Linked DNA regions of Arabidopsis thaliana. The protein of the gene in region 2 interacts with the protein of the main gene of each other region in a pairwise test. Each region holds a gene or a part of one and is shown on either strand. Other genes may lie near its edges. The genes, in order: TTG1 and TT2.

What was found.
Region 1: the proteins of TT2 (region 2) and TTG1 interact in a two-hybrid assay, tested with the Arabidopsis thaliana proteins (one study listed by BioGRID).

The regions. Positions count from the first base shown.
Region 1 is NC_003076.8:8,369,554-8,374,514, reverse strand, and holds TTG1 (Transducin/WD40 repeat-like superfamily protein), read left to right. Parts: upstream 1-1,667; 5' UTR 1,668-1,781; coding exon 1,782-2,807; 3' UTR 2,808-2,808; intron 2,809-3,334; exon of another isoform or gene 3,335-3,383; intron 3,384-3,508; 3' UTR 3,509-4,198; downstream 4,199-4,961. Other genes in the region: AT5G24510 (60S acidic ribosomal protein family), read left to right, coding at 4,649-4,717, 4,877-4,961.
Region 2 is NC_003076.8:13,724,798-13,728,605, reverse strand, and holds TT2 (Duplicated homeodomain-like superfamily protein), read right to left. Parts: upstream 1,864-3,808; 5' UTR 1,800-1,863; coding exon of another isoform or gene 1,736-1,799; coding exon 1,458-1,735; intron 1,385-1,457; coding exon 877-1,384; 3' UTR 645-876; downstream 1-644. UniProt on the Arabidopsis thaliana protein: Transcription activator, when associated with BHLH2/EGL3/MYC146, BHLH12/MYC1, or BHLH42/TT8. Involved in the control of flavonoid late metabolism in developing siliques.

The DNA.
Region 1 (4,961 bases), 5.4 Mb from region 2:
CTCATTACGTATCAGACCACCACCAGCCGCGAGTCTCGAATTGCCATAAAATACCCCATCAGTATTTAATTTAAACCAGCCCATAGACGAGATAAGCCATTTTATCAGCTTCTCAACCCGACCAGCCCTTTGTGTTGCCTTTCCGCTACTAGCTCTCGCCTCCAATACCTCCTTAGCTAACTCTCTTATGAACCGCACCCTATTCTTCCATACTTTATTCTCCCCAAAAACTAGCTAATTGAATTACCAACATTTGATCAAGATAATATACTAGGTAGCTAATTAATGAGCTCATTTTTTTTTGTCGTCAATGGGCTAATTTATTAATTACAGTATGAACTATTGACTATTATTCTAAATAAGTGAATATCACGAGTATGTACGAATTATTGGATGTATCTATTTGTATTGATTGATGTAATATCAAATAGTATGAATTTGGAGTAAACGTGGGTTTGGGGTTGAAGCAGGTAGGGCATGTCAAAGTAGGGCGTCTTTCGTTATGTCCCTTTCCTCTAAATTTGAACCTCTGTCATTGTACAGAAAAATCGTAATAACCCATAAATGTGTTTTAAAAAACATTATTTCGAGTTTTCTACACATATTCTAGTCATGTTTAATTTGAATCTTTTCTTATTTAAGTAAGCTTTAGACATTTTTAACCTAAGTTTTCTTCTCCCTTCATAAATTTTGAGATCTATATAATGTTCTTACATTTTGGATCAAGATCTTCATATTCTCATTCCAATTAGTAAAAGATTTTTTCACCTTTTAATCTCTTATCTTTTATTTATATTCTTTAGTTATGTTTATGCTTTTCATCATATTTAGTGGTTAGTTTTTATTATTTATTTATTGATTCATGACTTATGCTAGATTATGATAAGAATTTATGTTACCACTTGATAAATCCTCCATTTGACATGTGTTTAATGCTAGATTTATATTGTCTCCAAATTTACAACTTCGATGTCTTATGATAAATGCCAACAACCAAATTTCAGATAAAGATTAGCAGACTAACTAAGCTTATTATTCACTTGCAAGGTGGAGTGATGTTGAAAGAACCCTCACAGACACGTCATTGGGAAGACTAAATCTCTTTTTAGCACGTTACACCTTTGAGATCGCGTTTATTCCATATGGAGAGAGAGCAACAATACGAGACATGGAGAGGCACCATTACCGCCGGCGCAACTGCTTCCAAATATTGACAAACAAATTTGAATCTGGATCTTCTCTATTCGTGAACAAGGAGATAGAAGCTACGATGAATGCATGGAAGCTTGGTTTGCTTTAATATAAACACTAAAGGGGAGTAGAACTTTCTTGAAAAATTGTATGCAAATTATTTACCGAATGTTAAAAGCTTTTTTCGAATAAATTTTACATTTTCTTAATAATAATAATAAAAAAGGATTGTTGATTATCTTAATCACAAACAATTTATTTTAGCTGAATTAGACAATTGTTAGTAAAATGATTAGAGTGTCACATATTAATGTTGTTAGTGTTTCATGTCATCCTAGTGATCCAATAATTAGGCCATTCTATAGCTCTTAACGTTAAAATAAAAGGCCCATTATCTGAATATACAGAAGCCCATTATCAATAGATACATTAAAAGATACTGATTAATCCAGAGGGTTTATATCTACGCCGTCTCCATTGATTATTTCTCCGTCTCTTGAAAAATCCGACTGACACTGACCTCAAAACTCTCCTCTCACTTTCGTCGTGAAGAAGCCAAATCTCGAATCGAATCAGCACCACACATTTCCATGGATAATTCAGCTCCAGATTCGTTATCCAGATCGGAAACCGCCGTCACATACGACTCACCATATCCACTCTACGCCATGGCTTTCTCTTCTCTCCGCTCATCCTCCGGTCACAGAATCGCCGTCGGAAGCTTCCTCGAAGATTACAACAACCGCATCGACATTCTCTCTTTCGATTCCGATTCAATGACCGTTAAGCCTCTCCCGAATCTCTCCTTCGAGCATCCTTATCCTCCAACAAAGCTAATGTTCAGTCCTCCTTCTCTCCGTCGTCCTTCCTCCGGAGATCTCCTCGCTTCCTCCGGCGATTTCCTCCGTCTTTGGGAAATTAACGAAGATTCATCAACCGTCGAGCCAATCTCGGTTCTCAACAACAGCAAAACGAGCGAGTTTTGTGCGCCGTTGACTTCCTTCGATTGGAACGATGTAGAGCCGAAACGTCTCGGAACTTGTAGTATTGATACGACGTGTACGATTTGGGATATTGAGAAGTCTGTTGTTGAGACTCAGCTTATAGCTCATGATAAAGAGGTTCATGACATTGCTTGGGGAGAAGCTAGGGTTTTCGCATCAGTCTCTGCTGATGGATCCGTTAGGATCTTTGATTTACGTGATAAGGAACATTCTACAATCATTTACGAGAGTCCTCAGCCTGATACGCCTTTGTTAAGACTTGCTTGGAACAAACAAGATCTTAGATATATGGCTACGATTTTGATGGATTCTAATAAGGTTGTGATTCTCGATATTCGTTCGCCGACTATGCCTGTTGCTGAGCTTGAAAGACATCAGGCTAGTGTGAATGCTATAGCTTGGGCGCCTCAGAGCTGTAAACATATTTGTTCTGGTGGTGATGATACACAGGCTCTTATTTGGGAGCTTCCTACTGTTGCTGGACCCAATGGGATTGATCCGATGTCGGTTTATTCGGCTGGTTCGGAGATTAATCAGTTGCAGTGGTCTTCTTCGCAGCCTGATTGGATTGGTATTGCTTTTGCTAACAAAATGCAGCTCCTTAGAGTTTGAGGTGAGAGTTTCTGTTTCGCTACATAATTCTCATTTGCTAGGCCTAGATTCTAATGAGGAAGCATTGATTATTGGTTTAGATTGTGTTGCATTACAGATAGTCTTCTAGGTTTGGTAACTAAACGTTTTTTCGATTCTTGATAACAAAGCCACTAGAGATTTGACACTAACTCGTTTTAGATTTACCTGAATCAATATCTCTGTTAAAATCAATTACTTTGTTATGCATACATAAATCACAGTTTAGTAGTCATATATATTGGCTCTTATTAGCGACAGGTCTCACACTTGCTGTAATGGCTGATAGTGTAGTAGTCATATGTTGGCTTTCATCTAAGTTGATGTATCATATGATGAATAGTTGTACACTCGTCAGGTTCTAATTTTTACCCATAATTCTTCAGTCTATTTTTTTTTGAGACAATCTATTCTTAATTTAACGAAGCCACTAGCTACGTATACAAATATTGTTAATTTAACGAAGTATCTGAGAATTGTTTACTGCTGACTGTGCTGTATGCCCTCAGAAACATATAGAAGTGGAATTGGAAACTTCATGCTGGTTTGAACATCTTTGTATGTGTGCTTCAGGTTTTTGTAACTCATTTAGACAACAGCATTGCATATATACACGCACATATGCAACCTAGAAAATCAAATAACCTTTCCTTATAATTACTATACATTTCACTTGATGTCAGGTGCAGATGTGAAGTGATCAATAAGGATTTTAGCATAGACCCGTATAATCGTCATGTGCGTAAGTAGGTTTGGTTTGCGCTCCCTCTCGCTTTTAGGTCCGCAATGACTCTGTATCTATCTGATTGTAACTAAAACTGAATTCATTTGATGAACCAAATGATACTATTATCTTATGTTGTGTATAAAACCCAACCAGGATATATTGCGGTTTCTGGTGTTTAGATTTGGTAATTGGAGCTTAGTACAATGCAACCCTGTCTTGCTTTATTGGACGTCTCTAAGATAAATCAGCTTGCAATGAATTCCAATGGAGTTTGTCAGTTTGAATTAACTTCTTTGCATAATTAACACAAAGATTTGCAGTATAAATTCCATTGGAAGACTTATTTGTTTATTTGACACAGATTTAAATTGAATTTCAATGGAGTTTCAGTCGACTATGTGACACAAAGATTTGAAATGAACTCCAATGGGAATTTGGTGAGTAAATTATTATAAACAATCCAATGTTTGACACAAATATTTTAGAATCTTCACATCTGAAGTCTTATAAATCGTAGCAAAATTTTCAATCTTGAAAATTATAAAAAATGAGAATTAATTTAAATCACTGATCCGATAATCTCCTCTAGAAATATAAGAATCTATAAACCATTAATAGTAGAATTCCAAAATGTTATAAATCTATATACTATAAATGAAAATTTTACTTTTTAACTTTTGTCTCCATAATATCATACCATACTTAAAATTTTATTTATTTTATTCTAATAATCACAATGTGTTTCTTTGTATATAAATAGAGTTTTTCTAATGGTTTGAGAAGTGATTTGGAAAACATGGATACTCATATTTTTTTCAATTTATAAGATGATCAAAATAGAAAATTTAGCTTATGAAATCTTTTAGATTTAGGAACAAATGTATACTCTAAAATGTAACTATTTGACATGTGTCAAAATGTTTTTAAATTTGTTGTGATCTTGTTACAATTAAGATCAAGCTACTTGTCAGATTTTATGTGATGGGTTAAATTTTACAAAATTCTAGCCCAAATATAAAATACCTACGTCCTCAAAACTTAAAATGCAAGCGATAATAATACAACTTAGAGTACAAAGAGGTTAAAGGTAGATAGAATGTCGACCAGTGAGCTCGCCTGCACTTATGCTGCTCTCATCCTCCACGATGATGGAATCGAGATCACCGTTAGTTTTCTTCTCTTCTCTCTTTCTTCAAATTTGTTTTCTAGCTATTGAGACACTGTTTAGCCTATGTTTTAGTCTCTAGAATCGTCATCTCTCTTTTCTTGCCTTGTGGTTTCAAACTGATCTCACTTAAGTGTTGTAATAATGTAAAATTATTAGGCTGAGAACATATCAAAACTGGTGAAAACAGCCAACGTGAATGTCGAGTCATACTGGCCTAGCCTCTTTGCTAAGCTATGTGAGA
Region 2 (3,808 bases):
CAAATATCTCTATATTATTCCGCAAATCAAAACAAATCTAACATTCGATTTACTATGCAAAACACAAATGAAATATAAATAATATAAATTAATAAAAAAAATTTAGTTATTATATCATAAATAACACTATACACTTTTCTATGCACATTATAATTTATACACTACAATATCTTTCACTAAAAATGTATTCTAATACATTTCTTAAAATATGAAACCCCGCACGTATGTGCGGGTCAGAATCTAGTTTCCTTTAAAATACAAACACTTTTTGATGTCCAATAAAATACATGATTTTTTAGTATCCTTAAAATACATAAACTTCTAAATTGTACCCATAAAATACAGGAGATAGGGGGAAAATCCGGAATATTCCTTTGTTTTGTTTTTCAAATATGTACTGGCACATGACTTAGAACAACCATGCATCTAGTATTTATTTATACGATGATTCCAAAAATGAGAAGAACAAATTCCTTACATTAATGACTATGCCTGCCTATAAATAGACTATACATGTATATTCTAGTAATATTTCGTAATAACAAAATTGTAAAGTTGATTCGTATTACCAATAATTCACAAGTAGAATTTATAGGTTGGGTGGTTAAGCGGTGGTTAGGTTATAATAAAAGCTCTATCATTTGCTCATACATAAATTTACAAAATCTATCAAAAATATTTATGTCGTACGTATTTGCAATAATAAAAAATTATTAGTTAAAGACAAAACCCATTTCTATAACATGTGGATCGTATAATTATTTGTATTTCTTGGTCTCCTTAGTAAGTTAGTAATTAGAAGCGTTCAGACAAATACAGATATACTTTTGTCCGTATAGAGAAATATGTATTAACGTAGGTTTTTGCAATATAGGCTCAACAAGTGAAGTCTCGGAGCCAATCTTCATCGTCGCCACGATGATGACAAGAAGTGAAAGGTCTATTGAGATCGAGATTACCTTGAGCAGGAACCAACTCTCCCAAAATCTCGTTAGATGAAACAAGAGATGTAACGTTTCCACAGTCCAAACCATCAAAATCCATCAAATCCGGGAAGTGAAACTCCGAATGGATCCTATCGAAATCGAATTCGAGATCTCCCATCAACGAAGATCCACCTTGATCCATCTCTTGTTCTTTCAGAGGTAGTGGACTAGTACTACTCTTCTTCTGAAGAGAGAGATCCGAGAAGAGAAGAGTCTTTGAGCACCTAATCGCCTTTGTACGTATAACACATACATTATTCTCGTTGTTCGTCGAATGTTTTATACGTTTTGGTTGCTTGGTTTGAGTTTTGGGAAGTCTTTTGCGGAGGTTTGAGTTCCAATGATTCTTTATTTCATTGTCTGTTCGGCCTGGAAGCCTCCCAGCTATCAACGACCATCTGCTTTAATTATAATGTCACATAACAAATAACTTTACTACAAAAAGAAAATTCTATGTGGTTAGTGAAAAACCTGTTTCCAAGAAGATTATGGAGACGGATTATGAGTTCTTCTTCATCAGATGAGATGTTACCGCGCTTTATCCCCGGTCTTAGGTAGTTCTTCCACCGAAGTCTACAGCTTTTGCCACACCTCTTGAGACCTTTTATGTGTGCCAAGACAATTATTGTACGTAGAAGATATAAAGACGGATCGGTAGATAGAGAGATTAGTACCAGCTTGGTTAGGGAGAGTGCTCCATTTGCCTTCGCCGTGAGTGGTGATGTAATCTCTAAGGATCTTGTCTTCATGATCAGTCCAAGCTCCTCTGTTTAACTCTTCTCTCCTCACACTAGTAGTTGCTCTCTTTCCCATTCTCACTTTTCTCTCTCTTGTGGTTGTGTGGTTGGTACAATTGTCTTTAGTGTTGTGTTGAGAATAGATTCTGTTTTTGTGTTTAGCTGAGTATCTTTATAGGGGAGTTGTTGATATGTCCGTACATCAGTCGCTTTCTAAAACCTCTGTCATACACACTTTGAAATTTTAATGCTTTCTTCACCTGGTAATAATTAGCTTTGGTGAGGTTAATTTTACCGAATTTTAACATCTACAAAGAGTTTTTCTAAGCCAAGTGTGAATTTAGGCCTGGGAGTTCGGCAAATCGGTTTAATCGGGTCGGGTTATTCGGTTTTAGGGAATTTCGGTTTTTGGAAATGCTTCCGAATTAAACCGAATTTAATTTCGGTTCGGTTCGGTCGGGACTCGGGTTTTTCAGGTCGGTTATCTAGATTTATTTAACTTCCGAAATAAAACTGAAAATTTTCATATTCGGTTTATTTGAACCGAATTAGACATGTATCAAATACGGGAAAAGGGTATTTTCATACCCGTACTATTTTCTGAGTGTATTTTCGTATCCAAAAAAATTTGTTGGGTATTTTCATATATTAACCGCATATTTATTTGAATTTCATACCTCAACTTAAGAAAAAGTACAAAATTCAGAGTCAAAGTAACGGGTGTTAGTCAACTCCGTGAAGATGATAAGTCAGCAGACACATGGAAAATATGTGTCTATAACGACGTCGTTTTACGTTATGAACGTTTAAAATGTTAAATTTGTTGGGTAGTTTCATATCTAAACCGCATATTTATTTTAATTTAAAAAAAAGATTGCTAGGTAAACAAAGTATAAGAGAATACATGGTCACACATACCTACTATACATTGTATATCCAGCTACACGAAGTAGACACGAAGTAGATGTATTACATGACCACATATATGAAGTATAGGACGTCATGTGGTTAACACCATTGACATACAATTCCGGTAAACCGGTCAGTTGACTCAGGCTTTGACTAGTGTTGACCGGCGTTGACCAACAAAAAAATTTAAAATTATTTTTAATACTCAAAAATACGAAAATATTTTTTTTCTTTTATATATTCAAAAACATATTCTATATTTCGTAAAAATATATTTGTATTTTCAATGCATTAAATCTTATAATAATTAGTTTTATTTTTAATTTCAAAACTAAACTAAAACTAGAATAAAAATCATTATTAAACTTTAGATTAAAGAGTCATATACTCAATTGTATTAGGAAGCAATATGAAATTGAGTATATGACTCTTTAATCTAAAGTTTGCATGGTAAAGAAAATTATAATATTTTTTATATACTCTTTAGTCTAAATTTATTTTTGTATACTATGTAGTTCCTTTTGTAACAAATATTATTAAGAAAAGTTCTCGTAGTAACACATAAACAACCAAAAACTTGCAATTTTTCTTTTTAATATATAAAAAGATAGAAAATCTAACAATGTTGATTTCAGCAAAAAAGTTTTTAAAATAAAATTCATTTGTATTACGTTTTATTCTAATAATTTTTGTGGTTGATTTTTTTTTATAAAAAATATTGTATAGAAATAATTGAAGTGTTTTAATTGACACTATAAAAATAAGCAATTTCCTTACTTAATTAACTATAATAATATTTTCCTGTTTTCATTTAAAATTTAAAATTTAATAATGATTTTTAATCTATTTTTAGTTAAATTTTGATTTTTTTTGTAAAACTAATTTTTCTAAGATTTAATGCATTGAAATATAGAATATGTTTTTGAATATACAAAACCAAAAAAAAAATATTTTGTATTTTTGAATATTTAAAATAATTTAAAAGATTTTTTTGAATTTTTTTGTTGGTCAACGCCGGTCAACCCTAGTCAACGCCGGAGTCAACTGACCGGTTTATCGGAATTGTATGTCTATGGTGTTAACCACATGACGTCCTATACTTTGTATATGTGGTCATACAATACATTTACTTCGTGTAGTTTGAATTTACTTTGACATTGTTTTGCGTTATGAACA